Linked DNA regions of Mus musculus: all the other regions are reported to be linked to region 1. The links are microRNA targets in miRTarBase. Many come from high-throughput screens and were not tested one by one. Region 1 holds a microRNA gene; each other region holds the end of a gene's coding sequence.
Evidence for each region. The annotated mature microRNA mmu-miR-181b-5p reads AACAUUCAUUGCUGUCGGUGGGUU and lies in region 1 at 2,422-2,445, opposite strand. An mRNA with a match to its seed (bases 2 to 7 or 8) in the 3' UTR can be bound and repressed. Matches are read on the target gene's strand: a 7mer-m8 pairs with bases 2 to 8, a 7mer-A1 pairs with bases 2 to 7 and ends in A, and an 8mer does both.

Region 2: miRTarBase lists Trim2 as a target of mmu-miR-181b-5p. Seed matches in the 3' UTR shown: 8mer at 993-1,000, 7mer-A1 at 1,961-1,967 and 7mer-m8 at 2,961-2,967.
Region 3: the mRNA of Timp3 is a reported target of mmu-miR-181b-5p. Seed matches in the 3' UTR shown: 7mer-m8 at 1,440-1,446, 7mer-A1 at 419-425 and 8mer at 344-351.
Region 4: miRTarBase lists Atp5g1 as a target of mmu-miR-181b-5p. The part of its 3' UTR that is shown has no 7-base or 8-base seed match.
Region 5: miRTarBase lists Cbx7 as a target of mmu-miR-181b-5p. Seed matches in the 3' UTR shown: 8mer at 1,579-1,586 and 8mer at 1,272-1,279.
Region 6: the mRNA of Atp2a2 is a reported target of mmu-miR-181b-5p. Seed matches in the 3' UTR shown: 7mer-m8 at 3,237-3,243.
Region 7: miRTarBase lists Aicda as a target of mmu-miR-181b-5p. The part of its 3' UTR that is shown has no 7-base or 8-base seed match.

The regions. Positions count from the first base shown.
Region 1 is chr1:137,964,733-137,969,094 of GRCm38, reverse strand. Mir181b-1 (microRNA 181b-1) reads right to left here and starts at 2,456; the gene lies at 2,377-2,456. It overlaps Mir181a-1 (microRNA 181a-1), which reads right to left and starts at 2,640; the gene lies at 2,554-2,640.
Region 2 is chr3:84,161,602-84,165,963 of GRCm38, reverse strand. Trim2 (tripartite motif-containing 2) reads left to right here. Exons shown (of 12, transcript NM_001271727.1): 12 at 715-4,362. The coding sequence ends at 867. Among named protein-coding and RNA genes, the nearest start is that of Mnd1, 8.0 kb to the right of the region's middle.
Region 3 is chr10:86,345,405-86,349,766 of GRCm38, reverse strand. It overlaps Timp3 (tissue inhibitor of metalloproteinase 3), which reads right to left. Exons shown (of 5, transcript NM_011595.2): 5 at 262-4,062. The coding sequence ends at 3,865. The region is part of intron 6 of Syn3 (synapsin III); the gene reads left to right. Among named protein-coding and RNA genes, the nearest start is that of Timp3, 47 kb to the right of the region's middle.
Region 4 is chr11:96,069,195-96,073,556 of GRCm38, reverse strand. Atp5g1 (ATP synthase, H+ transporting, mitochondrial F0 complex, subunit C1 (subunit 9)) reads left to right here. Exons shown (of 5, transcript NM_001161419.1): 4 at 1-34; 5 at 339-764. The coding sequence ends at 453. Among named protein-coding and RNA genes, the nearest start is that of Atp5g1, 4.3 kb to the left of the region's middle.
Region 5 is chr15:79,914,720-79,919,081 of GRCm38, forward strand. Cbx7 (chromobox 7) reads right to left here. Exons shown (of 7, transcript NM_144811.3): 5 at 4,034-4,106; 6 at 3,558-3,757; 7 at 1,088-3,331. The coding sequence ends at 3,600. It also overlaps a transcript of Apobec3 not described here. Among named protein-coding and RNA genes, the nearest start is that of Cbx7, 16 kb to the right of the region's middle.
Region 6 is chr5:122,453,557-122,457,918 of GRCm38, forward strand. It overlaps Atp2a2 (ATPase, Ca++ transporting, cardiac muscle, slow twitch 2), which reads right to left. Exons shown (of 20, transcript NM_001110140.3): 19 at 3,956-4,073; 20 at 2,768-3,870. The coding sequence ends at 3,595. Among named protein-coding and RNA genes, the nearest start is that of Anapc7, 33 kb to the left of the region's middle.
Region 7 is chr6:122,561,925-122,566,286 of GRCm38, reverse strand. It overlaps Aicda (activation-induced cytidine deaminase), which reads right to left. Exons shown (of 5, transcript NM_009645.2): 4 at 4,331-4,362; 5 at 2,107-3,867. The coding sequence ends at 3,814. Among named protein-coding and RNA genes, the nearest start is that of Aicda, 10 kb to the right of the region's middle.

The DNA of each region.
Region 1 (4,362 bases):
AAATTTCTAAAAACTCACCATTACATAGTGAATTCATGTGATAATAGTTCGTGTAGCTCATAAAAAGTCAAACTCAAATGAGTAATTAAAATTTAATATTTTATTATGCTTTGAATTCAAGCCTATATACATGAACAGTACAATCTTAAGAATTTTTTTTTACAAATTGACTTTTATATCATTCACATCAAACACTCAGACTGTTTTAAAGAAACATAAATAATAATAAATAATGTACTAAAAATTTAAAGTGCAAATATGTGGAAAAATTTTGTCACCCCATCAGGTAAATGCACATTGAAATCATAATCATTTTATGCCTACCCCCTGTTAGAATGGACATTATCAAATACATGGTAGCAAGTGACAAGAGCTAAGAGGGTAATGGAAAGGAATAAAGACACAGGAAACCACTGTGAACGCTAGATGTAAATTAGTGCAACTATTTGGGAAAACCGGATGACATGTCTTCCAAAAAATGAAAATAGTATCCCTAAATTATATGTCCTCACATCCCTACATCCTCTGTGTGTGTGTGTGTGTGTGTGTGTGTGTACTGAGATATGTATATCAAAGAGGTATTTGTACTCTCTTCATTTCAACATTATTGATAATAGCCAAGCTTTGGTAACAAAGTGTCCTTCAATCAATGAATGAGTAGAGAAAATATTCTGACATTATGGATGTTTTCATAGGTATACACACACACACACACACATATATATATACACATATATGTATACACACACATATACCTATATATCTACATATCTCCATTACCTTAGCATATATACGAATACACACACACACACATACACACACAAATACACATATGAAATGAAATACTATCCAGGCTTAGAAAAGTTTATCAACAAATATATACCTGGATGAATTTATAATCAATGAAATAGAGGCCAGTGCCGCAGGATCCACTTAAATATGGAACTTAAAGGGAATGATTTTATGGAAGAAGAGTAGGAAGTTTGCTACCAGGGGTGGAATAATACTGGTGATTTGGTTTCACCAAGACCAGCTTCCATTAAAAAAAAATCTGCACAATTGGGAGAGAGCAATGTTTCAAGATGTCAAATTGTGGGCTGAAGAGAAGTAATGAGAGAACACACAAATAGAGACTCTTCTGCAGGTTACTAATTAAGTGACGTTTCCAAACTCATAGCTTTTTAAGATAGAAAAAAGAAGGGGGCTGTTCAGTGAATGAAGCAGGAATAGAAACTTTTTTTTGAACTTCTTGTTTTTTGTTGAGATTAGAGCCTTGTCATACGTTAAATGGAACGAAACAGACGGTGGGAGAAAGGAGTTATGATAGATAGAGATGCCCCAAGCAAGGCAGGCACTTGTGAACTAACTACGTAAAATACTGTGGGAATGAATATTCTGAACACTAGAGCAAGGTCCCAGGAATGGATTTCTGTAGTGGGAGTTGAATGTATATCATAATAAACTGATCAAGAGAGAGAAAGGACAATATGTTTGATAGATTTTTTCCCAACGAATTAAAATCTATTAGGTACCATGTACTAGGTACCATGTACACACTGTATGCTGAACATCCTGTTATAAATATTAACTCCAACCACTGTACTTACTATTGGAGGTGATGAACCTTAATGACAGATGTTCTTTTTGAAATTATAGAGCCAAACTAGTTAGGAAACACACACACACACACACACACACACACACACACACACACACACACACACTTGCTTGAAGACAGTCCCTGGAATCAAGTCTACCATTTCAGAAGAAAGTAGAGGGTAAATAAAGATGATGAACTATAATCTTAAATCTGAGGTCTCTCTGGGGAAACAAATCTATTGCATGATTATAATGAGCCCCTGGATAACAAAGTACTTGGCTATTGAGGTACTATCCCTCTGCCTACCAATTCCATAGAGAGTAGAGCCATTTCAGCGATTCTTTATGCAGAGCAAAAGAATTCCCTCTTGCTTCAAGCCCATTTTGACCAAGAAATCTAATGAAAGATGAGGGGATGGTTATTTTCTGTGTAACAATGTGACGGATAACGGGGCAGGAAGTAAGATATTTCTTTGGTTCTTCCTCCCACCAGCACAGCAGAGCAGGAAGCCGTGCCAACCCAGGGCTACACAGTTGATTCTGGGCATCCAACACTTTAGCATTTTTAAGAAATGCCCCATTTGTAACCCCCAGGAGTATAGAAAAGCAGTATTCTTATATAAATTAGTGACTTCCTCACAGAAATAGGACTTGATATGAATTGAATAAACAAACCTGAAAGTTCAGACAGCAGAAGTTAAACCGAGAAACGGCGTTAATACCCCCAGGACCTCTATTAGGGAGGGAACGTCTGTTGATTGCGACAGCAAAAAGCGGGGCCACAGTTGCATTCATTGTTCAGTGAGCTTTTCTACACAGTTCAACCCACCGACAGCAATGAATGTTGATTGTGACCTTTGTAAACATAGTCTCTGAAGAGGCGGGGAGAATCCTGTCGGGTCCTGCTTTGCGGTTCTGTCTTCAGCAAACGCAGAGGGCCATGGAGTAGATGATGGTTAGCTATAGGGTACAATCAACGGTCGATGGTTTTTATTTGAATTCCAAACTCACCGACAGCGTTGAATGTTCACTGAAGCAACCTGTGAGGCAGAGATGTGCTGATTTAAACAGTATCTGTGGGAGTCTGGAGCAGGAGGGAGGCAGAGGAAAGCCCAATCCTTTAACCAAACCTGTCACACATTTTAAACCATTTCAAAAGAGTACAGAAGAAAAGAAGCAGGATTCCTCCAGCCCAGAGCTTGGCAAACCTCCACTTTGTGCTGTGTCAAAGAAAAGAATCGGATTTTTTTTTTTCAAAAGGGAAGAAAAGTCCTTTTGGGGGGAGCTTAGTTACAGGCTGTTAAAGACAGGGAGAATTTATCATTCAACAAAATTGGAACTATCAAAAAGCAAAACAAATAGTATCTAAGTATCTCATAATTTAAATATTGGTATGTATATAATAAGAACTGCAAGGACGCATGTAGGTCATGCAGAATCAAGCAGAAACCACTTAGGTTTTCTCAAGTTACATTGCTAACAATTTTGAACTTCTATGTTTACAATGTGCATGGAATAAGCATTTATTTTACAATAGGCATTTTAATTAGTATAATTTCTTTTAAACATACTTATTTTTAAAACAATCAAGGAATCAAACCAATTTAGCACATCTTTCTTTGCTTATGACACAAGACTTTAAACTACAATGAAAATTAATACAACCTATGCCTACTGCCTGAAATTCAACTCCTCTCACTTTGGTTATTATATCCTAATATTGTTATTTGTTTTGATTGAGTGGATCTGGCAGTAACTTCTATCCATTTCCTAGGTGTTCTTGAAATGAAGTGCATTTACAAGTTAGTATGAACTCTATTGAGCATGTCTTCAAAACTGATTTCAAATATCAACTTAAACAAAAATCCCTTTGTACTCCTCAAAACTAGGGTAGAAAGTTACTACATTATACTTATGTAGACTCTTAAGTGGCTTTAATAAGTATATATATATATATATATATATATATATATATATATATATATATATGTGTGTGTGTGTGTGTGTGTGTGTGTGTGTGTGTGTGTGTGTGTGTGTAACTATTAATAAAATATTGGTGAACCATTCAGTCCAAATTTTTATACATATTCATTTTATTTACTTAGAATATTGTATGCTAAACCTGTAATCATTTATTATCTTGTACACGAAGAGATTACAGGACAAGTGTCTCTGGCTGGTATTTTGAGGTAGATAAGGTAACGATCTGCTGATGGCATGCATTCAGACTTCAGATAGTTACAAGACATAAAACTGATGAATCTGAATAGTCCTGTGTGGCTTCCTTTGAGATAGCTTTCCTGCAGAGGGCTGTCTCTTGTGGAAGGAAAGCAAGTCTTCCTGGGACCATCTGTGTTATCAGTTTCACCAGAATGCATGTTGCTCATGTTCCCTTGCTTGACCACTGCACTATCATATTCAGGCCAGCATCCCATTGCTTCTATACATACCTGTCATTGCTTTTGATATCATTTTTTCAAGGCTGCTGAGCTGAGACTCTAAGCCATGATCATTGCCTTATCTCAATATACAAAATTGGAACTACGATCAAGCAATTTCCATCCGAATCACAATTAATAGCAAAGCACCGCAATGTGAGGGGTTTCCAGAACCTTCTAAAATTCTCTGTAGAAAATATAAGTCCAAATTTCTCAAATTCTTAGAATAAAATTACGGAGAATACTATCATGAAGTTCTTAGGAGATTGAAAGTGATTGGTGTTTAGTAAGAAATTAGATTAAACATCACATCACTGACATATTT
Region 2 (4,362 bases), not on the chromosome of region 1:
TTCTCAGCCCACCATGCCTCTGCCTCAGCAGTCCCCACATGGCAGTTTAAGGGCTAGACTCTAGGCCCTGAGCAGTAGTTCTCAACCTTCCTAATGCTGGGACCCTTTAAGACGGTTCCTCATGTTGCAGTGACCCCAGCTATAAAATTATTATTGTTGCCATTTCACAACTGTAGCTTTGCTATTGTAACTGCTTGTAATATACTTTTGAAGATAGGGGTTTGCCAAAGGGGTTGAGAATCACTGCCCTAGAGGATTTCGAGAGAACCTCAGGTCTTCAGCCTGTCCTGGAAGGTTACAGAAGCTGGGTTCCAGTGTCAGCAAATGAGGATAGCAGTGGTGGCAGATGCACCAACAAGGCAGATGCACCCACCAGCCGGGACAGAAAGCAGTAGGCCAAAAGCAGCAACTTCTCTCCCAGATCTCCTTAGGCCTGGGCCACAACAAGGAGGTTCTGCCCACACCGAGGGAGAGTCACCTCTTTCCCCTCCAGGTCATGTTTTTAGGAGACATACTTATGGATGTTTCTAGAACCCATCTCATCATTGTTTCTAGAACCAACTAGATCAACAACCAAGGTTAACCATCAATACTCTGTGTGCACAGCAGCAGCCTGAGCAAGCTCAGAAGGATCCTGACATGCGTTCCTTATTTTAAATGCATGTCCTTCTGCATATGTAACTTCCCTGATGCTCTGGTCTTATGTCTATGCAGGTTTTTGATGGGAGTGGATCATTTTTGTCCTATATCAACACATCTGCTGACCCGCTCTATGGCCCCCAGGGCCTGGCTCTCACTTCAGATGGCCATGTTGTGGTTGCAGACTCCGGAAACCACTGTTTCAAGGTCTACCGGTACTTACAGTAACAGTGGACAGCTCTGTACTGAGGTCTTGCACTAGAAACTGGAATGGAGTTCTCAAGGTGGGACCAGACTACGATAGGACTTTTCATACTAGGAAGAATCTTCGGTGAACTTCCCAAGGTTATTTCTGAATGTAACCATTTCTTTAAAAACTGTCTATCCAATTTCCGTAATTCACTTTTAGGATTTAAAAAGAATCTTCTTCTACTGAATCTATACAAACTGCGAAGTTTTACACCCATGAACTATGGCTCATAGGACAGGGATTTCTGTAGTTAAACTAATTTTGCAAATCAGACGTTAAAAAGAATTAGCGTATCTGTTGACTGGTGAATGAATGATAGCCTTTGCATAGAGCTTCCAAGAACAAAACTTGTAGTTGCCTATTTTATTTAACTTCGATCACAAGACCCAAGGGACCTTCTAACCTCACTTTTACAGTAGGTGTTATTATTCTGGTGACATGTTTTTGCTTATCAACAACCACATATAAATTACCTTAGAAAAATCCAAGGCTGTCTTGCAAGATCCTTTCAGTTCAACTCAGGCCCTGAGTTGAGCCCATCAGAATCAATGCAAATTCCCCAAATTTCCTGGGTTTGATCAAAGATCGTTTCCATGTGTTCTCTTCACCTTCTCATTTCTGCTCACCTTGCATCAGAAAATGAAATATATTTTCAGGAAAACCTGAAATTCCCGATGCTTTGGAAGGCACGTAGCAAAAGCAAGGGGACTCTTTGGTTACTAGCTTCAGATCAACACACTGGAATGGAATCAAGAGAAGTCACATTCATGTGCCATGCGTTCATGTGTCTTTCCTCTTCCACATCACGAAAGCGAAAGCTTTACCTCCTGCAAAACGTCAGCACATGTAGTCAGACGCCAGTGTCCTAGGACAGAGAGCCATAAGCAGCCCTTTGGAGGATGGATGGTGTCAACCAAAGGCATGTGATTGATTCATGATTTCCCCTTAGAGAGCAAGTGTTACCAAAGTTCTGTTGAGCATTACAGGTAAGGGCATGTTGTGGTTATTTATCATTGTCTAATGAGTAGTAGAGGCATTAAGGGGGCAAGTATACATGGTTAGGGTAAGATAGAATGTATTATACATATATATATATATATAAATATATAGCTGAGTCCTTGGTGTGCGGGAATAGGCAGCACTCTGAAAGACAGAAGCATTGTCCAGCCATCCTTCAGTACATTCCCTGCCTGTTGCAGTCTGAAGCCGTCCCTGGAGAGTGAGCCCCACAGCAGCTTTCTGTGCTGCCATTTCCTGGCATGATGGTGATGTCTGGCTTCCAGTCAAATTACCTTCTTTGTGTTCAAGAAAAAAAAGAAAGAAAGGAAGAAAAAAAGGAAGAAGGGGAGGAAGAAAGAAAGAAAGAAAGAAAGAAAGAAAGAAAGAAAGAAAGAAAGAAAGAAAGAGAAAGAGAGAAAGAAAGAAAGAAGTCTTTATAACATTGAGTTTGAGTTACCTTTCATTTAGGTATAAATGCATTTGAGAAACATTACCTGTCATGGATACTGTAAACTAAGATGTGTTCTCTTTCCACTGATTTTCTACTCAGTTCTACCAAATAGGAATGTTGTGCTTTGCATGTTTGATGATGACGCTGTGATGTCATTCACCGAAAGCACCTTAGATATCTACTGTAAAAGACATCTTCCCTTAGATACAAATGATGATGTTTATGGCTTATTATCTTAAAATTCAAATGTTCTTGACATAAATTTTTTAAAAAAATTTAGAAGGGAAATCTGGCTACTTCCAGTGGTCTATTTAATTCATTATGCCCAAATCAACATCTGGGTGGAAAAACTTTATTTTCAGAAGATTTACATTGGTATTTAGCTTATTATTATTTTAGTTCTGTGGGGTTTTAAAATACACAAGCCTGTCTTTACTAGACATAAAATTTAATACCAATTTTAGAACGATAAGGTAAGACTGCTTCTGAATATCATGAAATAAGTCTTTGATATTTTGGTTGTAATTTTTTTTTCTTGGTGCTGGGGATGGTACTCACGGCCTCAGAGATATTCAGCAAGAGCCCTACAGTCGGGCAGAGCCTGCAGCCCAACCCTCAGTATGAATGTCAGTGTTTCTCCCTCCAGGCTTCCGACCAGGGGCCAGGAATGCATCTAGGCACTGGGACCAGAGGGATGCTTAGAAGAGAAAGGCATCTCTGCCCTTGTACAGCTTATACTCTGGAAAGGAGACATCGTTGTGCTTTAATAGTCTGCCTGCAGGACTGTTTCTGTTTCTGGGCTACTTAAAAGAAAGCTTTTTTTAAAAAAAAATGAGTAAATTAATTGTAGAAATTAAAAATGTAAAAGTAGAAATTTTGTTTTTGTTTTTTGTTTTCCAAGACGGGGTTTCTCAATGTAGCCCTGGCTGTCTTGGAACTCACTCTGTAGACCAGGTTGGCCTCGAATGCAGAAATCCACCTGCCTCTGACTCCCAAGTGCTGGGATTAATGGCGTGTGCCACCACTGCCCGGCCAGAAAACATTTTTTAAAGAGGCTGCCATGGGCTGTTTTTGGTTGGTTGGTTGGTTCTTTGTTTTGTGGTGCTGGAGATGGAATCAGGGCTCTGCAACTGAGCCACACCTCCACGTTGCAACTCTTATTTTGAAAATGAATTTACCAAATGAGTTCTCATTTTGTACAATGTTGAGATATTTGTGAACTGAGAAATTAATTCGTAAATGAATCAGCTGCACATATAAAATATCATGTCAGGCTTGATAGCTCAATAAGAAATAACACAAATTTTTTTTTCTTAACACACAAATATTGGTATGAACTGGAATGAAAGGGTAATTTAATTTAGACCTGTTCCACCATTGGCTACTAAAGCACCTGCTGTGGGCACTGCAAGAAACACTACATTCTACACCTGGGTACCTGTGTGTGTTCACTGTATTTCTTTGTGGTAAGCGAATTGGGGGTTGGGGGTGGAGTGCTGCTACTAAGATATAAATAGACAAGGTCTAAATGGAATTTTGTCTCATTTGGTCAGAATGGTTTCTGGTAAACTGAGAAGGATTATTACAATAAGTGGCTTTTTTTGTTCTAGGCTACTGTTACTGTCCAATTGATCTTCGTTGAGTGTATAGAACCCGTCACACATTCATGATACGTAGCACTGAGAAAGTAAGCGTTCAGCTTTCCCTTGGGCACTAAGGACAAGCAGTTAGGTTTTATAGGTTAACGATAGTGTGTCTTCTCCCGCCATAAACCTCCCTTGCTGGACACAGGGTGGTAGGGAGTCACTTTGACTATCCAGAAACACACAATTAGAAAGTTGTTATGACTGTTTGCTGGTGTTTAAATGATGTGTAAGATTTTGATGAAACTTTAGTCTCTGTAACCAAATAAGCCCCCGAGTTTCCTAAACTTGACAAAATTTGAGGCAATAAGCACCCCTGGTCCATGCAGCTGTTGCACATCTGCTCCCACTACATGTACAGGGTATGTATGTCCTCACGG
Region 3 (4,362 bases), not on the chromosome of region 1:
TCTTAAACACTGGATCTTGCCAGTAGAATGACGGAGTTTAGTTAGGGCTGGATTAGCAAGCGTAAGGATTTAAGGATAACTCTCCTGAAATCTGTTGCAAAAACGGGCATAATTGAAATGGGCCAAGCTATAGCCAAGGGTGGAAGGAGATTGTGTGCCGAGGTTATAGGGAAGACAGGCAGAATCTGCTTGCAAGATCCTCTCTGATATCAATTATAACCTCCCAAGCCAGGACACAAGAAGGCAAGAGACAGCAGGTATGTGATAGAAATAAAACCACTTTACTGTTTAGAATAAAGGACAGCTATAAAAAGTGAACACTATGCAACATTACAAGACAATATACATTCACGGAATATAAAATTCATAAATAACATGGAGGAAAACTGTAAACAGTGCTACAAAATTTAGCAACAAATACATTCCTTCTAGAGGGGGTTTTCTCTGGCTGGTGTCTCTTCATCTCTACTGGGCTTCAGCACAGCTGGCTTGCTAGAGGAAAAATAGACAGAGAATCTAAGGTACCCCTGTCCCCAGAGCATGGTCATTTCCTCGGGTTCTCTCCTCCTCAACCCAAACAGCCGACTTAGATCTACTGAGACCTCTCTCTCCTGCCTTCTCCCATTTCATTGGATTTCTACCATCAGACTTTATTTTTTTTTTAAGTTTCTCTGATACAAATACGAAAGTGATATTTTTATCGTTAAGTAGCTGGGAGCCAACTACCTGAATGGCACCTTGATGTGAGGCAGGGAAGAGTAATGCCTCCTGGACTCACATTATCTCCCAGACAGATCTATCCCCAAAAGTCACTATGTTCTTTGTCGTTTAAGAAGCACAACATGAGACAGTGTTTATATGGCAGAGCTAGGACTGGAGAAAGTAAACATTGGAGTCTCCTTAAGCTCCACATCCTGGCTATAGAAGAGAGCTATCCTGGGCAACAGGAGCCTGAGCAGAGGAATTCCTTGGTTGGGAGACAGAAAAGTTGCCTGGATGAGACAAAGAGAGCTTAGAATCTCAGTTGCCATGGCTCTGGACTGCAGAAACCATGACTTCCTGGTTGAGTAGGAGAAAGGTCTTGGAAAGTGGGTGGCAGATGACCTAGGGATATTTGATACAGGACAAGAACTTGAGTGTACTTTTGATTTCTGTTTTGTTTTGCTTTTGCTTTTTTTCTTCTTCTTCTTCCCACCCTTAGGATTCTATGGGGAGGAGGCTGGAGGAGTCTGTTTCTAGTACCTTCCATTTCCTTGAATCTCCATTCTAGCTGAGTGGTGATTGTGTCCCAGTAATTCTGCCCTCCATTCTACTGTAGAATTTGAATCAGAAAAAAAAAATGGCATGTGGGTTTCTTTCTTTTTTTTTTCTTTTCTTCTTCTCTTAGACACAGTGTACACACAACAGCCTACACATGGCACATGATTTAGCAAAATAAAACATTCACGATATAATTGAAGTATCAAAGTGTCTCAGCTACATAAATGATTTTAAATTATACAGTAAGTGAACAGGTGAAATAAACAAAGCTATAGCTTATTGAAAGCTCAAAAACCGCTCTCCGATGATGTAACTTTACACAAGACCCTTTCGTGGCCAGTACTTCTCACCAAGACCTCAAAAGCCGACTGGGGCCATTGGTTCTGCCCATTGGTTTTATCTTCAGGTGCCTCATACTTAGGCCTCACCTCAAGTCTGTCCATGTAAAAGGGAGGTGATTACCAGGGATTGAGAATGGCCCGATGCTGGATTAAGATGGAAAAGATGTTGGGGTATACATATGGGAGGGCACTTGAGTAAGATAGATCAGGAGCGCCATATTAGGAAACTCTGAGGTTGAAATAGACAACTTCCAACAGTAAAGCCAGAGGTTCAGCTCTTAAGAACCACTGGCTTGCTGACCTCAGCTCCTTCTCTCGGCACACCATGGAAATGGTTGTGCCTTCTGCCCCCTGTCAGCACAGGGGAAAGATGCAAGGGAATGAAATCAACCAAGAGAAAACTTGACACCCATCTCCTGAACTGTCTTCCTGCCCTGCTCTTCTATCAAACACCTGGACAAAGCAGTGGTATGTGTGGGGTGGGGACAGACTAGAACTTGTTCTCTCTCTCTCTCTCTCTCTCTCTCTCTCTCTCTCTCTCTCTCTCTCTCAACTGGTAACTGTGTTTCTAAAGTGGAATGAAAACGATATGATACTAATAGAGGATAAATACCCATAATCTGAAAAAAGACAGAGTAACTGTGTTAAATGTCACCACCTTACTATCTCCAACTCTGTGCAATACACTCTCACCTACTATTGGCATTGCAATGTTGACACTAAAACTTAAAATAATCTTATTTAATAGGAAAATTTATACTGTACTTTTATTTAAAAACAAAAATACAACACAACAAAAGGCCTACATTTGGACGGCAGAGCCTGGCTCCCTCAGTAACCAATCATGTTCATTCTATGAGGTGACCACCTCCGGAAGTGACTTCACCCATTACTGAGCTGGGGAAGAAGTGTATGCTGTCCCCAGATCCAGGAGAGGAGTCATTCCACTGTGCAACTGCCCCTTTCATGAGAAGGCCCTAACCTAACACTCACACTCCCCTGCCGTCAGCCAGCCAGTAAGGCAATTAAGTGAAGGGCACCCCGAACAGAAAGCAGAACAAAGAAGGGAGATGGATGGTCAGATAACCCCAGTTATAGGGACAGTAGGGTACTGAGTGTGGTCAGAGTTTCAAATTTTAATTCAGATAATAAAAAAAAGTCAACTTGGAATGTCACAATTTCCCATCAAACAACAAAAGAAAAAAAGATTAAACTATTTGCATATTTAACAGCATTGAATAGAATTCTGTGTCCTATAAAAAAAATTAGCTCATAATCCCCCGTGGGTATATGCAAATGTATATATAAACACATCCCCCTAGATGAGCTAAACACTACTTTGGAAATAGTATTCTCTATCCAAATCTACTTGACTATATCTGTGGATAGTGTCAGGTGTGTGTTTCTCCAACTTACAGTTGGCAAGCTTCCAGCCAAACTTCCCCAAGAATTCCTAGGAGACTGTCTCATGGGAGGCAGGAGAGGAAAGACGTTCATCTCAGCCCTTTGAGTTTTTTGTACAGACGGGCAGGTTGCCTGCTGAACCCAGGCAGATGTTTAAGCCTTTGCCAGCTCAGAAAGTTCTGTTACTCTTGGATGCTTGTTCCAGGATCTGAAACATGGGGTCAACCCAAGTATCACAGGGCTGGATAACTGTGAGACCCACTCCTACAGTCTGTCTCTTCTCTCCCTCTGACATGCACACATAGACAGACTGTCTGACCCAGACATACAGTTGTATATCCTCTGTGTAGAAGACCTTTCAAATACCTGGCGTCTGTCTGCTTGCTGCCTTTGACTGATTGGGAAACAGTTGGACTTCTGCCAACTTCCTTATCCATGTTTCCTGTGTATTGGGATGAAGAAGTGTATATGGAACTGGGTCTAGGATGTGGTCAAGAGAGGAAGAAGAAAGAAGAGTAGCTTTAAATGCCCCAATGGGATAAATTTTTCAATTTCTGTTTTCCTAAAAAAATATAGATTATATATCATGAAGAAGAGGTGTATACATGCCTCGTTCTTTCTGGCTTGGCACCAGAGATCCCCAGTTGGAAATGGGTGATGTCAAAACCAAAAAGAAGGGGTAGGGGCGGGGCCAGGAAGGTATTTCCAAATCAACTCCATAGACAGCAGAGACTTTAAGTGTCCCCAGTGCTAAATTTGCAAGAAAACAGGCACTAATTTCATTGTCATCATCTGGGAAGAGTTAGTGTCTGGGACGCTCGGCGGGATGGGAAGGAGGTGAGGTGGGGAAGGTCTGGGTTCAGGGGTCTGTGGCGTTGCTGATGCTCTTGTCTGGGGGAGCCCATCCTCGGTACCAGCTGCAGTAGCCACCCTTCTGCCGGATGCAGGCGTAGTGTTTGGACTGATAGCCAGGGTACCCAAAATTGGAGAGCATGTCGGTCCAGAGACACTCATTCTTGGAGGTCACAAAACAAGGCAAGTAGTAGCAGGACTTGATCTGTAATGACACGCAAGCCACAGTTAGGGGACTGCACCATGGCAGGCCCTCCCTGAATTCAAACCCAGGGGGTTCCTGCCCTTTAATGCTACCAGATTAATAACACTAGCTATAAGCTCCCATTGAGTGTCTACTGGGCACCAGACATACTGTCTCTAAACTTTTGGTACACTTCTAAATCCCCTCTATAGATGAATAGAGACTCTCAGAAAGGTTAAACAGCTCATTCCAGGTCACACAGCATTTGAGTCTCAGATTAGATGTGGGAAGAGGCGACTACCACTGTTGTAGGAAATGGAG
Region 4 (4,362 bases), not on the chromosome of region 1:
CAGTGTTTGGTAGCTTGATTATTGGCTATGCCAGGTAAGTTCGGGGCTGCCTGTGTTGTTGCTCCACTCCACTTGGGGCAGAGTCTTAGCAAGTGGGAGTCTCCAAGTTGATGTTCTTTAACCTCCTGTCTCTCCAGTGACCTAAGTCAGAATTGAAGCATGCCACATGTGAACTTGCCGAGTTGCTAGTCTCCTTTCCTGCCCAAGTTCCCAGGGTAGCTGTAGGCTAGCCCCTTTCCTGCCCAAGTTCCCAGGGTAGATGTAGGCTAGCCCCTTTTGAAATAGTAGCACACTCCCCTCCCCTGACCTGGACCCTCACCCTTTTCTGTCTCTGGCAGGAACCCATCTCTCAAGCAGCAGCTCTTCTCCTATGCCATTCTGGGGTTTGCCCTGTCTGAGGCCATGGGACTCTTCTGTTTGATGGTCGCCTTCCTCATCCTCTTCGCCATGTGAGGCTCCCTGGGGTCACCCAGCCGTCCCTGCTGCTTTGACTCCATGCCAGTCCTGGTGCTGGAGTCTACTGAGCTTTACCATTAAACAACAACAACAACAACAACAACGTTTCTCTAAACCATGTGCCTGTGCCTGTCTTTCTACCCCGGGGGTAGGCGGCGTCTTTGGAATGGTGAGAAGTGACACTTGGGTCAGCCTTGGTGATAAGGCAGAGTGTGGAAGGGTCCCACCGTCTCCCAGGAGGATATGAAATAGCCTGGGTAATGATGTTGGTGCTTTGTCACTTTCAAGTTTAGCATACTGACAGGTGCCATTTCGTTGGGGGCGGGGGCGGGGCGGGGGCGGGGAGCGTTTTATTTTGTTGAGTCCTTAGGGCCATGCTGTGTGGCTCTGGCTGGCCTGGGACTTACTATAGACCAGATTAGCTGTGAAGCTGGGGTTAAAGGCATGCGCCCCCTATTGTTTGTAGCAGGTAACATTGTTGAGGAGCTTAACTTAGAACAAGCGCTGTGCAGAACAAGCGCTGTGCTGAGTGGTGAACCGCAGTCCTGCTAAGCATTAGCTTAAATTAAGCCTGCTTTACACGGGAGAGACCTGTGCTTAGGAGAGTTTGTGCAAAACCCTGAGCGGGGAAGGGGAGTCAGCGTGAGTTTAAAGGTGTCACACAGCCATTGCTCCCACTCGCCCTCAGTCCTGTTTTTATTCATGCCCCACAATTTAAAGTACTATGGAGAAGCAGATTAAAGATAGAGGTGTCAAGCAGTCAAGATGGCTCTGTGGTGTAAAGGCTTTTTGGTTTTGTTTGTTTGAGACAGGGTTTCTCTGTATAGCCCTGGCTGTCCTGGAACTCACTCTGTAGACTAGGCTGACCTCGAACTTAGAAATCCTCCTGCCTCTGCCTCCCAAGTGCTGGGATTAAAGGCGTGCACCACCACTGCCCGGCAACAATCTGTAATCTTTGCTTGAGCCTGAAAATGCTTTTTGAGGGTGTGGACTAATAAATTCCTTGGCGGTGTGAAGCTTCTTTTTCTGTGGCCTGTGCCAAGACCTCCCTTCGCCCTCATTTGGCTAAAATGACACTGATAGCCCAGGGAAGATAATGACTAGTCTACTGCCACTCCCCCCTCCACACACATAAAAAACATACATGCATCCATGTTTGTGTATGCAAACTGGCAGGAGGGATTGTATGTCCGTGCAGGCACTCAGGCCAGAAGGCCATCAGATCTGGAATTGGAGTGACAGGGAGATGTGTTACCGACATCTGTAAGCAGAACCCACATCTGTAAGAACACTTTGCGCTCTTTTTCTTTTTTTGAGAATTATTTAAATTTCTATTTCATGTACATTGGTATTTTCCCTGCATATATGTCTCTGAGGGTGTCATATCTCCTGGAACTGGAGTGACAGTTCTGAGGGCCATGTGGGGGGACTGGGAAGTAAACCCAGGTCCTCTAGAAAAGCAGCCTGTGCTCTTAACACTGAGCCATCTCTGCAGCCCCAGTATGAGCTCTTAATCATTAAGCCAGCTTTCGTGTCTGGAACAAGTCATTTTTTAATTTTTTTATAAGAAACCAAGAGGTGGTCCAGAGAGATAGCTCAGTGATTACGAGCACTGACTGCTGCTCTTCAGAGGTCCTGAGTTCAATTCCCAGAAACCACATGGTGGCTCACAACCATCTGTAATGGGATCTGATGCCCTCTTCTGTTGTGGCTGAAGGTAGCTACAGTGTACTCATGTAAATAAAATAAATAATAAATCCTAAATTTTTTTTTTAAAAGGAAGAAACCAAGAGGAGAGAACTTTGAGGGTGGGGCATCCTGCTGAGGTTGTATAGCTGGTTAGGAAAGCTACCATTCAAATTCTAGAACCTCTCCTTATCACTGTGCTGACTCATCAAGACTATGTTGAATGACCTGCAGCAAGCCTCTATTTCCAACCCAGGTCCACTTGACATTGACTCTGCATTTCTCGGCTTTGTTGTATATGGGGCCTGGTAGTATAACCCTAACACCCCAGTTTCCAAATAACCCCTCTGATGCTTACATTTATTAAAAAATGCCTAGGCCATAAGCTAGGCTGCTTCCCCCAACTAACTCTTAACCTATCCAGTTTATTTGAACCTGAGTTCATCTACATAACTGGTTTCTTTTCCTCAGTTTCACATGTCCATCTTCCTCAGCCTAACTCCCAGAATTCCTTTCTCCTGGATCTTCTACCTATTACTTCCCACCTTTTGCTAATAGGCCATCAACTCTTTATTGACAGGTGATGCTTCCACACAGCACATAAGAGATTATCCCTACACGGCAGTTTCAGTAGTTGTCTTGAGGGCTGTTTCTGTTCAGGGAGCAGTAGTCATTCCTAACATAGCCTCTAGATATCAACCAGAGACAGACGCCCTCTTAGTCGTTTTACCTAACGTAACTCCCTCAGAGTTACGGACCAGTGGTGGTAAATCCTGAGACAGCCTGGCAGTTTCAGGCTAAAGCAAGAGGACTGAAGGTGACCTGGCAAAGTGTCACCAAGGGAGCAATAGATTAACTGGTAATGCTGTTACACAAGCGGAACACCATAACCCTTGGGGATATGACGCTGGCACCTTTGACAGGTCACTTGCTCTGGAGGTAATCAAGGAACACTCCCCAGGGAAAGTAGTTGCTTTTTCCTTCCTGTGGAAGGCCAGGAACCTGAGAGACTCCTTCTATCCCATCGCAGCCTTCAAAGAACCCTGGAATTGGCTGAACTTAACAGATCAGCAGGGCTAGGACTCTTTAACAAGTGGACTCTTGGAGGGAGAATGCTTTCTTGTCTGCTATAGGCTAGTTAGTACCATAACCACTAAGGCTCTTCAACGTCTGTGACATATTAGCTCTGGTGCATGGATGAGGCCATATGGCTTAGTACAAAGATGTTTTGATCTGAGGGGTGGGTATGAGAATAAACTATGCTCTGAGAAGGGCATAGGAACCACAGTCAGGAGCTGATCATGAGGTTGGCAGTGTGGCTCAGTGGTAGCGCCTAACATGTTTGAAACCCTGGGTTCTATTCCTAGCTAGGGGGGCCAGGGAGATCAGGGATGCATGGGCTTAAGAAGCAAACAAATACAAATAGCCCTATCCTAGCTAAGATGTCACTGTCTCCCGAGTAGGGACTTCTTCATCCCTACAGTGGGGATGAGACTGATTCTTGATGATTGTAACAAAATGAAATATTACAGGTAGTATATGTAAATGAGGTAACATTTGTGTGCCCAGTTTCACATGCTGCTGGGGACCAGGGCAGCCATTCAACCAAGTGAATCAAATCCCTGTCCCCAGTCACATTATTTTTTTCACAGAGTCTCACTGAATCTGGAGCCCAAATACTTCTATTTTGTATTGTGTGTGTGTGTGAGGTCAGAAGTGTTACATCCTCTGGTGTTGGAGTTTCAAGCAGTTGTGAGCTATCCAGTATGGGTGCTAGGAACCAACCATGAGTCCTCTAAATTCTGAGCCACTATTCCAGCCTCTCACACCTAGCTTTTACTGGATATCCAAACTCAGACCCTCATGTGTGGGCAGCAAGCCCTTTATCCCACTGGAACCATCTCCCAGCTCATAAATTAAATATTTTTTACTACACTATTAAGCAGCTATTGTACATGATCGAGCTTGTTTATGCTAGTAATCCCAGCACTTGGAGTATGCAGGCAAAGTTGTCAAGAAATTCAAGGCCTGGGCTGGAGAGATGGCTCAGTGGTTAAGAGCACTGACTGCTCTTCCAGAGGTCCTGAGTTCAATTCCCAGCAACCACATGGTGGCTCACAACCATCTGTAAATGGGGATCCGATGCCTCTTCTGTTGTGTCTGAAAACAGCAATAGTGTGCTCATGTACAAATAATTAAATAAATCTTTAAAAAGAAAAA
Region 5 (4,362 bases), not on the chromosome of region 1:
TCAGGAAATGGCAAGGGCTGGAGGCTAGATAGGGCCTTCATGCAGATGTAGACTCTGCTCCTTAGAACAGAGACATCCTTGCTGCCAGGCGAGCAGTGCAGGGGGCGCCTCAAAACCCTGCCGCTGAAGCTGGGTACTTGCCTCCCACAACCAGTGGGCCAATGGAAGAAACAACGCTAACATAGTATCTCATCGCTGCAAGGCTGCTACTGACCCCGAGGTTTACTGCCTCCAATCCAGGAGAGAGGAGCTTGCCAGAAGCTGGAGCTGAGTAGCCTCGCCATTCCTATTCCCGGTGGAGACTAAGACAGACAGTATCAGAGGCATGGCCTGGTAAGATAAAAGGGCTCTGGACCCCTCTGATGAATGCACTGACCTGTGGAAATGCCAGCTGTGGGGACTGAAGGAGAGAGATGAATACTGTCCACTGCAACCTTGGGGCCAGCACCAGCTCCGAGGACCAATGGCCATCCTACCAAGAAGCTTGTCTCCTTTGTTATTGTCATGGGCCACCTCTTTGCAGAGTCTTGGAGATTGTGGGCCCTCTGTGGAGTTGAGCTCAGTAGAGCAGTGGACACCATACCTCCAGAGGCTCTCCTGACATCACCTCTCATCTTGGCTGTGGACGGACATACCCAAGGTTCCTCTGCAGGTGTCAAGTCCTGCCTGTACAGCCGCGCAGGGCAGGCCATCGAGAGAACTAAGCAGTGCATGCTTTCTGCACTGCCTGTGTCGAGCTTGTCAGGTGTGCAGAGTCCATGTAAGTGCGCGTCAGCCTCATGACTGACCTGGTTCTCCAGCCTGAGACTGAACACTCAAGCTGCTGACACCCAGTCTTCTAGAACCAGCTACTCTTAGAAGATATAGAGGAACCGCAAGGTTCACGGCCACAGGCCCAGCCCTGACACGCTAGGCTCATTTCTCTCCTCAGCTGATTTTAATTGGGTTCAGAAGACTGGATGTCTATAGTCCCATACCATGGACTATAGTTGGGAGGCACGGAGTCCTGGGCTACGGTTTGAGGGTAAGGGTGGGGTATCACACAGTTATCACACCATCAAAACAAACAACCAGACACACAGAAGTCTCTAAAGACATTTTAATGTATTTTTTAATAATTTTTGCCTCATCTATCAGATAAATCATCTAAATAAATAGATGCTATACAGTCTTTTACCAATATCAGTACAAAAATAAAACTGCAGCCTACACCTGCTTACTCTTCCCATCGCACTCCCCCCGGGGGAAGGCCTATGCCCAATTCCTCCCAATACATTCAGGTCGTCTGAACAAAGCTCGTAGCTCATTCTGTGTGCAAAGGAAGCGGTCTTGCGCAAAGACCTGGTGGCCAGGTCTGGCCCGCCATTTATAAAGCAAAATCGATACCACCTCGCTGACACCGAGCTACTTCCTCGGTAGGCAGGAGGTGGAAGGAACTTGGCAATAAGATCACCATCTTACCAGATGAGAACCACGTGGGCCAAATGGGCTCAACTGTGGCACTGCACAAGTGTCCACACCAGAGGTTGAGGCACATCTTCACCCCAACCCAGGGAGGGGGAAGTTCAACCCAACCTCTACATTCAAATATGCAGGGGGAGGGGTTAAGAGATAGGCAGGTGGTCGCCACTGCTGGCTCATGGAGTACTGGCCCTGTATGGGGTTAGTGTATGTGGGTGGAGAGGGGGCGTGTTACTGTCCACTTGGGTAGCTTCAGGCTAGGAGAAGCCTGTGTATAGCCACTCGAAGCCTTCTGCCATTCTCCCTAGGCGGCCAGTTTCCAGCAGTTCAGAGCTACATGGCTACCCTGAGGGATATCCAGCCTAGTCCACAATCTCCAGGGACTGGTGGGTTTCATAAAGGGCCCCGTGAGATAAAAGGTCACCGCCTACTGCAAAAGACAGAAGGCAGCTGCTTGGAAAGCCCCCCCTGGGGTCTCATGATCAAAATTCAAATTGTACAGGCATTTAGTCCCATGCCCCTAGGGATGGGAAGCATGACACCGAAGGGATTCTGTCCCCCAATATGGTGGGCCATCAAACCCAGCAGCAAAGAAAAGCTCCAGCCACCCTCACCTCTCTGGGAGCTGGGGCTTCAAGAACACCAAGGTCTCCCCACCTCCAGGTTCCTGTAGCCTACTGGCTGAGGTTCCTGTCTCTCCTCTCTCTGGCCCACCCAGACATCCTCTAGATTCAGGTCACCCACAGATGACGGCCACCAACGGAAGCACTGAGTTAACCCTGGACCATTAAGACTAAAGGAGGGGGAGACCAGGGACTAGAGAAGGAAGAGGATAGAGTCGCAGACAGACACGGGGCAGGGTAGTGTTTAGAAGTCATCCTGCCCTTGTTCATACTGACTCTGCTGGCCTCCTAAAGACACAGCAGAATTGGTAGCTGCTAGGACCCAGCCATATAGGTTCGTATGGTAGCAGCGGGTGTGTGAGCAATGTGCTCTCGACAAGGGAGGGAGCCGTCCTCAGGTAGGAAGCTGTCAGCCTATAGGGCACCTGTGCAAACCAGCAAACCGCACCCCCCCCCTTGCCAAATCAGGACCACACACTTGTGTGCAACCTGATTCATGTTCAACCCCCACAAGGTGGGAGGGGTCATCCATCCTTAGCCATGCCATTCAGGTTGGGTGGGGAGGGGGACAAAGAAGACAAGGACTGCCCTGAGAAAGTGGTGGGACACTCCCTCCCTGACTGCCCACATACCACTGGCACCCATGGGTGCCCAGATCGGCTGATTGGCAGGAGAGGGCAGAGAAATTGGGGGGCGGGGCTGGAAAGTCACCTGAGTCAGAAAGAATGTGAACTCCTGTGGGAGGAAGGGTGGGCCAGGTGGCTGTGAGCCTGTGTGGAAGCATCTGCACCTTGCACACCAAAGCCTGGTCCAATTGGCGGCTCGGAGATGACAGCCGACAGATCCTGTCACATGACCTACGTGCAAGGCGGAGCAAGGGTGCCGCGGCAAGTTCTGTTTGTGCTGTGAATGGTGTCATGTTCAACTGGTCAGTTTTCTAAAGGTGTGCATGTTGGGGTGTCCGGATGTGTTCATGGGCATCTCTACACAGGCCAATGGCAGGGAGACAGCACACTCGGAGGAGGCTTGGTGGGCAGCCTCTTCCCTGGTCCAGCCCGTGCCGGTTGTCCTGATCCTGTCCCCGGTGGCCAAGGCCGGCCTCTGTGTCCCACCACAAGGCTGGAGTGGAAAGTTCATAGTAAAGACCCACGGCAAGGGACAGGGAAGGGACACCACCAGAAAGCTGGGGTGACTGCCTGAGGCAAGGTCTGGACCTCCTGGGCTCCTCCGGCTCCACGGATCAGCCTCTGAAAGATAATGACAGAGGCGTACTGGGCAGGGTAGCCTGTCCCCATCTGCCCAGGAGATGAGACCCAGACAACACTGGCCTTCCCCCCCTGTTTCTGAGGCCTCTTTGTAAACAACCGTCGGGGAGCAAGGGCGGGTGCTGGGGTCTTCCCCGTGCTTCTACTTTTTTAAAAAATAAAAATATTTACCCTGCTCCCAGCCCCTCCTGTCTCTGGAAATCCTCACCCAAGCCCCAAGAAGCACAGTTTTAAGAGGGGAAGCCGCTATTCACAGCTTCTCGTTGCGGTCTCGGAAGAAGCCCTCGGCGGCTTGAGCCTCGCGGAAGGTGACGGTGACGGAGTTGGCGGTGATGTCAGTCACGGTAACTTCACTTGAGGGGAGCGTGGGTGTCCAGGGAGGCGGCCCATTGGTCAGGTCTGCTTCTGCTGCAGCCATGGAACAAAGACACGGGTGAGGTACAGGCACCACTCGGCACCGAGTGGGCAGTCAGAAGTCGTGAATGGTAGCACGCTGCCCATCCCCCCACACGCTTGAAGCAGGATGCTTTAGGAGGGCGCATGTGCACCTGCCTAGCTAGCTATAGCAGAATGGGCAGGGGCCAGGTCCAGTCAGTCCTGCCTGCTCCACTGTTGGGTTTCCAGGCCCCCTGGACAGGGGTCAGGGACCTTCCCGGCTTTGAGGTCTCAGGATGGCTGACTTACCCTCCTCCTCGGGGGCTTGCTCCATAGGCTCCCAGTCTCCGGGGGTCTGCACAACGTCTGGGGCTGCTGACTCCTGCAGGGAGAGCTCCCGTCGATGGCTGTGACTCTCCAGGTGGGGCCCGCGTGGCGGGAACTTCTTGCGTGAGAGCCGCAGGTACTTGTGGGCTTTGCGCGCCTTGCGGAGCGGGAATGGCAGGGTGGGCACCAAGGGGCCCTTCTCCACCAGCTCAGCGACCCCTGCCTTGACCACCCCCATGGGGCTCCCGCTGCGGAGCGGGCGCGCCAGAGAGAAGCAGAGCTTCTCATTGCCCTTGGCTTTGTGGGAGCTC
Region 6 (4,362 bases), not on the chromosome of region 1:
TGTGCAATACCTGTTACCAGCACAGAAACTGACCTCTATTTACAGACTACAGTCAAACATGCGCTGTGAGAAGCTGTGAGCAACTGAACTGACGCTGAGCACTTTATTACGATAAATGCACACAATACTTGTATTGCACCAACATCTGTCTACTGCTTCTGACTTCATTAAATAAGTTACAATAATACAGTGTGGAACAGCTGGCTGCACACCTAAACAACTGAAGTTAGGACTGGAGGCCTATGTTGTAACCATTCAGCAGCTGTAGTGTTTTAAATGAATTTATAAATAAGCAAACTGTACAGGGCCCATTAGAAAGCATGTTTCAATGTCACTGTAGAGCAATCTGGCCACTTACAACTGAAGGCATGCATTACAATTATCATACAGTTAGAGAGGCTATGACATTTTGCAGAGAAATGTGGAGACTTGGCTGATGGCTTCTGTTCTTGGATAAGGTTTCAGAACCTCCTTCTCGCAGCAAAGAAACCAACTTCTCTGGAGAGGCTCTCTGATTTGTTATGCTAAATTGTACATTTGTTATTATTTTGATTGAACAGCTAAAACCCCACTGGTAATACACATTTCCTCCACATCACACAGTGAGTTGGGGACTGTTTCTATTTTTCTTTTCCCCAACCTCAGTCATGCAGAGGGCTGGTAGATGTGTTGCTAACAACGCACATGCACGCACCCGAACACCCTTATATTTCTGCAAATGGTTTAGGAAGCGGTTACTCCAGTATTGCTGAAAAGGAAAGAGAGAGGAAATCAGCTTTTCGAAACGTAGAGCAATGTTAAGACACAACAACAGGGACAGACAGAAAGAACACTGCATTTGGTCTAGATGCAAAACCAGCATTTCTGACGGAGTGTTCCAAGTGCTTGCTGCCCAGGCACATCTAGAAGCAGTGGCTTGGTGACTGCCCTGGGCCGCCTCCTACCAAAGTTCCAGGAGGCAGAAACTAGAAGGCATGTCAGGTACAGGGCTGAGAGCCATGCAGAGGGTGAGGCAGGTGGAGCAGTGAGTGGCATGGCACCAGGGGAGAGGCCTTCCTGTCCCTCCCTGTTCTCTATGGCAGCCAGTCCTGGGCTACAGGCTCAGCTCTGCTTTGAAGGTTTCCCAATTGCAGGGGTCAGTCCTAATGGAGTTTGGCAGCTCACGACAAAGGGCAACCATGCTTTTTGGCTCTGCGGCTCTGCAGGCACCGAGCCAATGCTGCCATCTTAGATGTTCCTGAGGCCTGTGCCATTGTTGGGGCTGAGACCCTATTTTGAGGGTGCTGTGATAGCAGCTGCTGTGAGATGGCTAGCCTTCTCCAGCCTTAGTAGCCCTGCTAGCTCTCCGGGGAGGCCACCACCTGAATTTTGCTGAGTGGGCTGCAGGGTGGAACCTTTAGACAGCTTTGCTGAAGAGGCCATTCCGGGAAAGTTCAAGGCTGGGGTCCAGGCTAGACTGCCCTAGTGGGTTGAGCATGATGCTGACACAATAAATGCTGTCCCTTCTTGAGGGTGCTGGGTGAGAGCAGGGCTGAGGACATGCAGGAGGTGGCCTGTGGCTGGGACTGTGCTGTTGGCCTTGGTCTATGCGGGCCAGGGGAAGGTTTTGTCAGCCTTGCTTGTGGCTGGATGGGTCAAGTGTTAGTCTATCTGTTGGGGTTGAACAGGTCCCAGTAAGCAACACAGCACTCAGGGATGAGGTCCATTTCCTTTAGGGCCCACTCATTCGTAAACGGCACTGAACAGCATGGTGTTAGGGCCCAGCACGCTATCATTCTGATTTGGTCTTTAACTCAGCTGTACCTTTGTGTTTGGCCCACTCCATCAAAACCTGCCTGCTTCCTGAGAATCACTGCTCCCTGTAGCACACAGAGGCCTCCCCAAGGAAGGGTCAGTGCCAGGTTCCCTCAGAACCTGGCACTTTCTCCTGCAACTTAGGGAGGAGGTCGCAGTCTCCAGGCCTCTGCACACCAGAGGGTTGAGACATGTCCTGAAGGGTGACAAAAGCTGCCTATGCGGAGTCAGCTGGCTTTCCTAGTCTTCCTCAGCCACTGAAAACCCATAGCCTTGTGACATGGTTTGTGTCCAGTCTCAGTTTGGTACTAGAGGTGACACAGCTCCTTCAGCCTGAAGTCAGCCAGGTCCCAAGGCTCTCCTTCCCACAGCTCATAGGGATCGCTGTCCTGGTCAGTGTCTACACTAGGGTAGCCTGTGTAGTGAGTGGCTGCCTGGTGGACACAGGAGCCATGCAGCTCACTAGCAACAGGGGCCAGCTCATCAGTGGCACCACCTGTACACAGGCCACAGCACCCCAGTCCCACAGGGAAGATACTCACGTTAGTTGATGGATGTTGGAAGGCATTGGAGGAAAACACCACAGTTAGGACTGTTAATGACTCACACTGCCGTTAAGACTGACCTTGAACATGCGCAAACGTTCATCAGTCATGGTGGTGGTGGTTAGTGCCATAGTCAAATAAAAATATTTCTATACAATATGTTCATTTGGTCATGTGCTATTTACAGATTTTACAAAACATACACACACATAAACACACACTTGCCCTTACACCAACCTACATACAACGGGCCAGCAGAAACTTGAGTAATGTATATCACATGACAGATCGTGCCTATACATTATAAATAAAATCCTACTATGCGGCAGAACAGGACTCTTCTCAGAACAGGAAACTAAGGCTCTAAGCTGAGAAGCTCAGAAATTTGAACTGATTATACGTAATTCAAGGCCATTAAGAACAAGACAGTTATTTTTCTCTGTCCATTTAAAATGTTTTATTTTTCTTTTAAACTAGATTGTGAAGTGCCATTGAATAGGCAATGTTGGCAAAACAATGTCTGTTACAATAAAATACATTAGACATTTAAATAAATAACCTTAAAAACTAGGCGAAGGGACAGAAACCCAGTCGATTGGATCTGGAGCAATGTTTTCTGCACAAGCGAGACAGGCAAACCTCTCGTGAAGACGGATGTAAACAGAACCATCAGACCTACAGAAGAAGCCGAGCAGGCTGGGGTGGGCTGGGGGTGACAGAGGCTGAGGGTGCAGGAAGTGGCAAACCAAAAATACTGACTGAGGTAGCAGGACTCTGCTCAGTGCAGAAAAATTGGCTTATGAATAAAAATTAGACTGTGATACCAAATTAAATCCAGAGAATCATGCAAAAGACACAATACATGCTATTTAGTTTTTTTTCTTTTAAAAACCACACACATTCATTTCCTAAGTCTGCTGCCAATTAATTTGCTGACAATGTCTGCTGGCTCAACTATCTTTGTACAAGTATGAGTATTAAACAGAACACTGTACATGCTTTTTCATCTACAAAAAAATATCTGCATAAAATAGTGTTAGTTCTCTGTACACGTCAATGGACACTTTAATTATGTGTATAAAAAAAGGAAAATCTTGTCCCACTGGAGTCAGAAAAAGCAAAACAAAATCTAGATATGAAACCTCCTTCACCAGCCAATATGTTCATGTGAAAATTCAGCAGAAATAGACAGTTGCTTTAAACAATAAAAAATTAATTGATTAAGTTAAACATCTTCTGTATGTAGCGCTGTCAGTCAAGACCAGAACATATCGCTAAAGTTAGTGTCTGTGCTGTAGACCCAGACCACCAGGGGCATAATGAGCAGCACAAACGGCCAGGAAATGCCATCGGTGCATGCCGACAGGGAGCAGGAAGATTTGGTGGCAGGCTGCACACACTCTTTACCGGGTTGTTCCAGGTAGTTTCGGGCCACAAACTTGAGCGTCTCATCCATGAGGATCACAGGCAAGGAGATTTTCAGCACCATCAGCCACTGGGTCAGATTCAGCGGTGTGATCTGGAAAATGAGCTGAGACAAACAAGGCTGGGTCAAGCTTCTGGCCCTGCCTGAAAGGAACTACCCCAGACCCCGCCCGGGGTCCATCATGACTCACCGGCAAAGGTTCCACGTAGAGGATCAAGAAGTGAAGTGACATGGACAAGCAGATGGAGCCCACGAGCCAGATATTCTCCCAGGGGGGCATCCTCAGCAAAGACTGGTTTTCAGACAAGCTACAGGTGAGAAGAGAAGTGACCTCACCAGAGGCAAAGGCATGCGTCAGTGACACACAAGCAGGCAAGGGTTTAGTGATGCTACTGCCTGCTGACCTAACTAACTCTAAAGGCCTGCTTTCCCCAGTGCGGGGAGCTGGAGGCTTTGGTGCAGCAGGCCCATCTCAGCAGGCTCAAAGCTGCTGGTGATGACCCAAGGTAGAGCCATTTGGAAACTTGTGTCCATCAGTGGCTTGGTTAGATGGAACTTCTTGTGCTCCACTCTCTAGGGTACAGGCATAGTCTGGAT
Region 7 (4,362 bases), not on the chromosome of region 1:
CCCATCAGTTACCTGTTTTACACCAAAAGTAGTCTTTAGGTGTGGTATTTTCTTTTGTGCCATTTTAGGGTGGAGAGGGTGGGCAAGATGGAGTCAGTCAATCAGGACTTAATTCTTCCTTGTGTTGTGTGTGTGTTTTTCTTCCTCCTTTTTGTTTTTTTAAAATTTCTCCCCCCCCCCCCCCCCCCATTGCACCAGAGTATGAAATAGCTTCCGGGTTCTCTGGCTCTGATCTGGGCAGGTGATTGTGGTCACACTCTGACAACACTAGGGGTCTAAACTGACTCCTCTTGTAGACTTACCATTATTATTATTATTTTTTTTTTAGCAGTTTAATGGGTACATTATAGAGTCTTCCATTTTGAGTGGAATTAGCTCCTCCCCTTCAAACGCTGTAATTAACATCACTTAAAATAAAACTTGAGAAAAATACTGAAATCTCAAAACGAAGCAAAACCAAAAAAGGGAACAGTCATCATTATCACTACTACAGAGAGAGCATTGGTAAAATGAAATACAAATTGTGGAATATGAGCTGGCAAGATGGCTCACTGTGCAACAACAGTGCACAACAGTGGTTAGAATGACAAATGTCCCCATAGGCTCAGATATTCAAAGTCGGTTCTAGGTAGGTGGCGCTGTTTTGGGGTGTTCAGGAAGTGCAGCCTGGCTGAGGGAGCACATCACTTGTGGGCTTTAACTTCCAGTTTCCCTCTCTGCTTGGCACTCGCTGTTAAAGATGTGATCTCCCAGCTTCCTGCTCCTCACGTCATGCCTGACACTTGAAGCCATGCCTCCACCCCACAGTGATGGCTTCGTTCTCAGTGGCATAAGCCAAGATACACACGCTCTCTTCCTTAGGTTGCCCTTGGTCATGGTGTTTTAATCACAACAACAGCAAAAGTAACTAACACACACTCACACTAATACACACACTCAAATGAATTAGTTAACATTGGAAGCCAGTTCAGTAGACAGAGCAGCGGGTGTTGGTGACTCAGAGTTTTGTGTACCAATGGTTTCCAGGAAATACTGGACATATTGCTCACTGCAGAGAAGGGGGTATATGCTATGGGATGCCATGAGAATTCCCAGTTAGAACCAGTTCTAGAGTTTGGGCTTTGGTTATGTGGTAGGAAAGGAGGGTGTGTTGTGGGCAATGTGAACCCTCTGGCTGGGCTTATGAATAAGCTCGTGTTTAGGAAATGCGCCTAGGACAGTGTTGTGGATAGCCCTGGGGCTAATTATACCCCCAAACCTTAGAAACCGCAAGTTCTAAAGGGTCTCATAGATGGAGAAGATGGTAGTGCAGCGGTAGATCTGCCCAATCTAGGCGCACAGCATGTATTCATATTAATTGAGTTGTGTTTTCATTGCCAGGGCATATTTGGGTGGAGATTTACTGCAACTACTACTGATCTTCTTGTCTCAGCCTCCCGAGTAGGGGACAGGCAGGTGTCACCATGTGGACTGCACTCTTTGCACCTGATGTCAGATTGCCCCAGCAGGGTTTGCTGACTCAGTACACCTTGGACCTTTATCTGAAATCAGTTGGTCATAGCTGAGTGGGTTAATTTCTGGACTCTCAATTCAATTCTATTTCATCAGGTATTTATTTCTCTAAGGCAGGCTCTCTCTGTGTGGCTATCTGCGGAGCACTCTGTCTAGATCAGGCTGACCTCAAACCCACAGAGAGCCTCCTGCCTCCATCTTTCCAATGCTGGGGGTTAAATACATGCGCCACCTTCCCTGTGATCTGTATGACTTTAATATATAAATGCTTTTTCCCGACATCATTTTATTCAGTAGTTCATCTCCAAAACTTTCACATTTTAATCTCGAATTCAGTTGATTTAAAATAAGCCAGGATGAACTTGCTGCACGCAGGGTGGGGGTTGGGGGTGGGGGTGGGGGTGGGGGTGGGGGTGGGAGTTGCTAAAAATCAAGAGCACAGCTGCCGAGCCATAATCATTACGATTTTGGATGATCACAATGACGAGTGCAGATATATAGTAATCTCTAAAGTTTCAAATTTATGAAACTTCAGGCACCCACTTTAATATTTCAGAATAGATGCCACGCAGCAACATAAAAAACAGGGATAGATGCAGGAAGGAATGGATGATCTTTATTTTTTTCTCCTCTTCCTCAGCAACTTACATACAATAAATAACGGTCGTGTATACAGGATTTCTTGTGGGCCTTTTAATTGCATTATAATGGCGACTGGGTGATAATTGCACAGGGATATTTTTTTCTAATATTTTTCTCATTAGCAAAGATCGTTGTTAGGGAGACCAGACATAAAGAGGGACAAACTGGGAGTCTATGTTGGTTTCCTACATTTCGTTGGGCAAAGCGTCATTTCCTTGCCACGGTCTTGCGTCTTGCATTTTTCCCTTGTTAAGTATGATTTACCAGAACCCAATTCTGGCTGTGTTGTTTGAAATAGGGTCTCACCTTACAGCTCAGACTGGCCTCAAATTTACAATCCTCCTGCCTCAGCTTCCTGAATGCTGGAACTATAGGTGAATGCCACTTTCCCTATTTTGCCACCCTCTTACACAGTTAACAATTTGGGGGAGCAGCATCACACACATATAAAAACTAAAAATTCTGTTTAACCGTGTTGGCATCCATCACAGAGAATAAATCACTGCCCCATACTCAAACGACTCCCAGGTACCCATTACTAGAAGTTTCTAAGTCACAGGCTCCTTTAAGTCTTGTTCCCAAGGTCGCAAGGAAAGGAGAGTTGGGACTCGGGGGCAATTTCTGCCGCATTCTGTCTCTGCGCCCTTGCAGAGCTTCCACCGTGTTGGGCCAGAGAATCCGGAGGTTCATCACCTCCGTGGTCCGTCTCAGGCACTATGAGGAGAGCCCGGGGAAGAATTTGCCATTTGTAATGGAAAACGAGTAGCGGTTCCTGGCTATGATAACTATATACTTTGGATCTGGGCGCTTTGCTCCTTTCTCTACAGCAAGGCACCAGTTAGTTAAGAAATAAGGATGTTTGATCCCTTTAACAGAATTACTGATGTTTAAGGGACGCGATCTGAAAATTGGGTTGAACCCTTGAACTCTTCTTCTTGATAAGACTGTGAGTAAACTAATGACATTAAAAATGAAAAAGAGTCTGTGTTTCCAGGGGATTTGCTTCTTGAGGCGTGAACTCATTTTCAGAGTGATTTCTTCGTAGTCCTCATCTGCATTTTAAGATCCTTTATTGAAATCACCCAGAGGCGATCGTGCATTCTTCAAATCCCACCCCAAGCCCTTTCACATACAAATGTGAAAAACACGACGGACAGTGAAAACATACAGCATGTGCCTGAGTATTAATGCTTTTGAGAGAATGGCTTGTGATTGCTCAGACAGAGACTGTAGGACAGCCCCGTGACCTTGTCAGAAAAGGACCCCTGAAAGTGAGCCTTAGAGGGAAAGAATAGAAGAATCCGTCACTGATACCCCTGAGAATTCAAATGAATCAAGGAACACAGGGTGGGTGTAACAAACTGTGTGGTCGTCTCCATATGCTTTTCCATGCTGTTGAAAAAAAAGAGCATCATTCACGACCCAAAGTCTGGAAGTTCTGCTGTTCCCCAGTAGATGGCGATGTTGCACAGCAAGCTCAGTTACATCATTGCTCTGGCGGTCCTGTGCAGCTCAAGTATTTTTTAAAAAGTCATATAATTTCCCCCTACACTTATAAAAGTGAGTACTTAAGAAGAAAAACATGTAGTTGAAGGGTTGTTTTTCTATCCAGTCTCTTCAGAGAAATTTCATCACGTGTGACATTCCAGGAGGTTGCTTTCAAAATCCCAACATACGAAATGCATCTCGCAAGTCATCGACTTCGTACAAGGGCTGTGGAGAAAGAGAGATGATATAAACGGAGTGAAGGGCTTTAAATTTGATCTCTGGAAAGGAAAGTGTCTAAACGAAGTGGGTGGCTCCAGAGGAAAGTAAATTGCTTGAGGACCAGGAAAAAAAGAAGGGGCGAATTCTGCCCTGGAAGGAACCCCACCTGAGGGGAGGTTAGCAAAAGGAAAGAGTTATGAAGACTGAGCGAAGAGGAGGCAAGAGGCAAGCGTCTAAGTGGAAGCTCTGTCCTGGGTAAAGCAGAAAAGAAAACTGGGTTGTAAGTGCCTTGAAGTAATCATTGTATAAAATAATGCATAATACAAACAAATAACTAAGAGGCTCCAGGTGTGTGTGTGTGTGTGTGAGTGTATGTATGTGTGTGTGTATGAGAGAGAGAGAGAGAGACAGAGACAGACAGAGAGACAGAGACAGACAGAGAGACAGGCAGACAGACAGGCAGACTTACCAAAAGGATGCGCCGAAGTTGTCTGGTTAGCC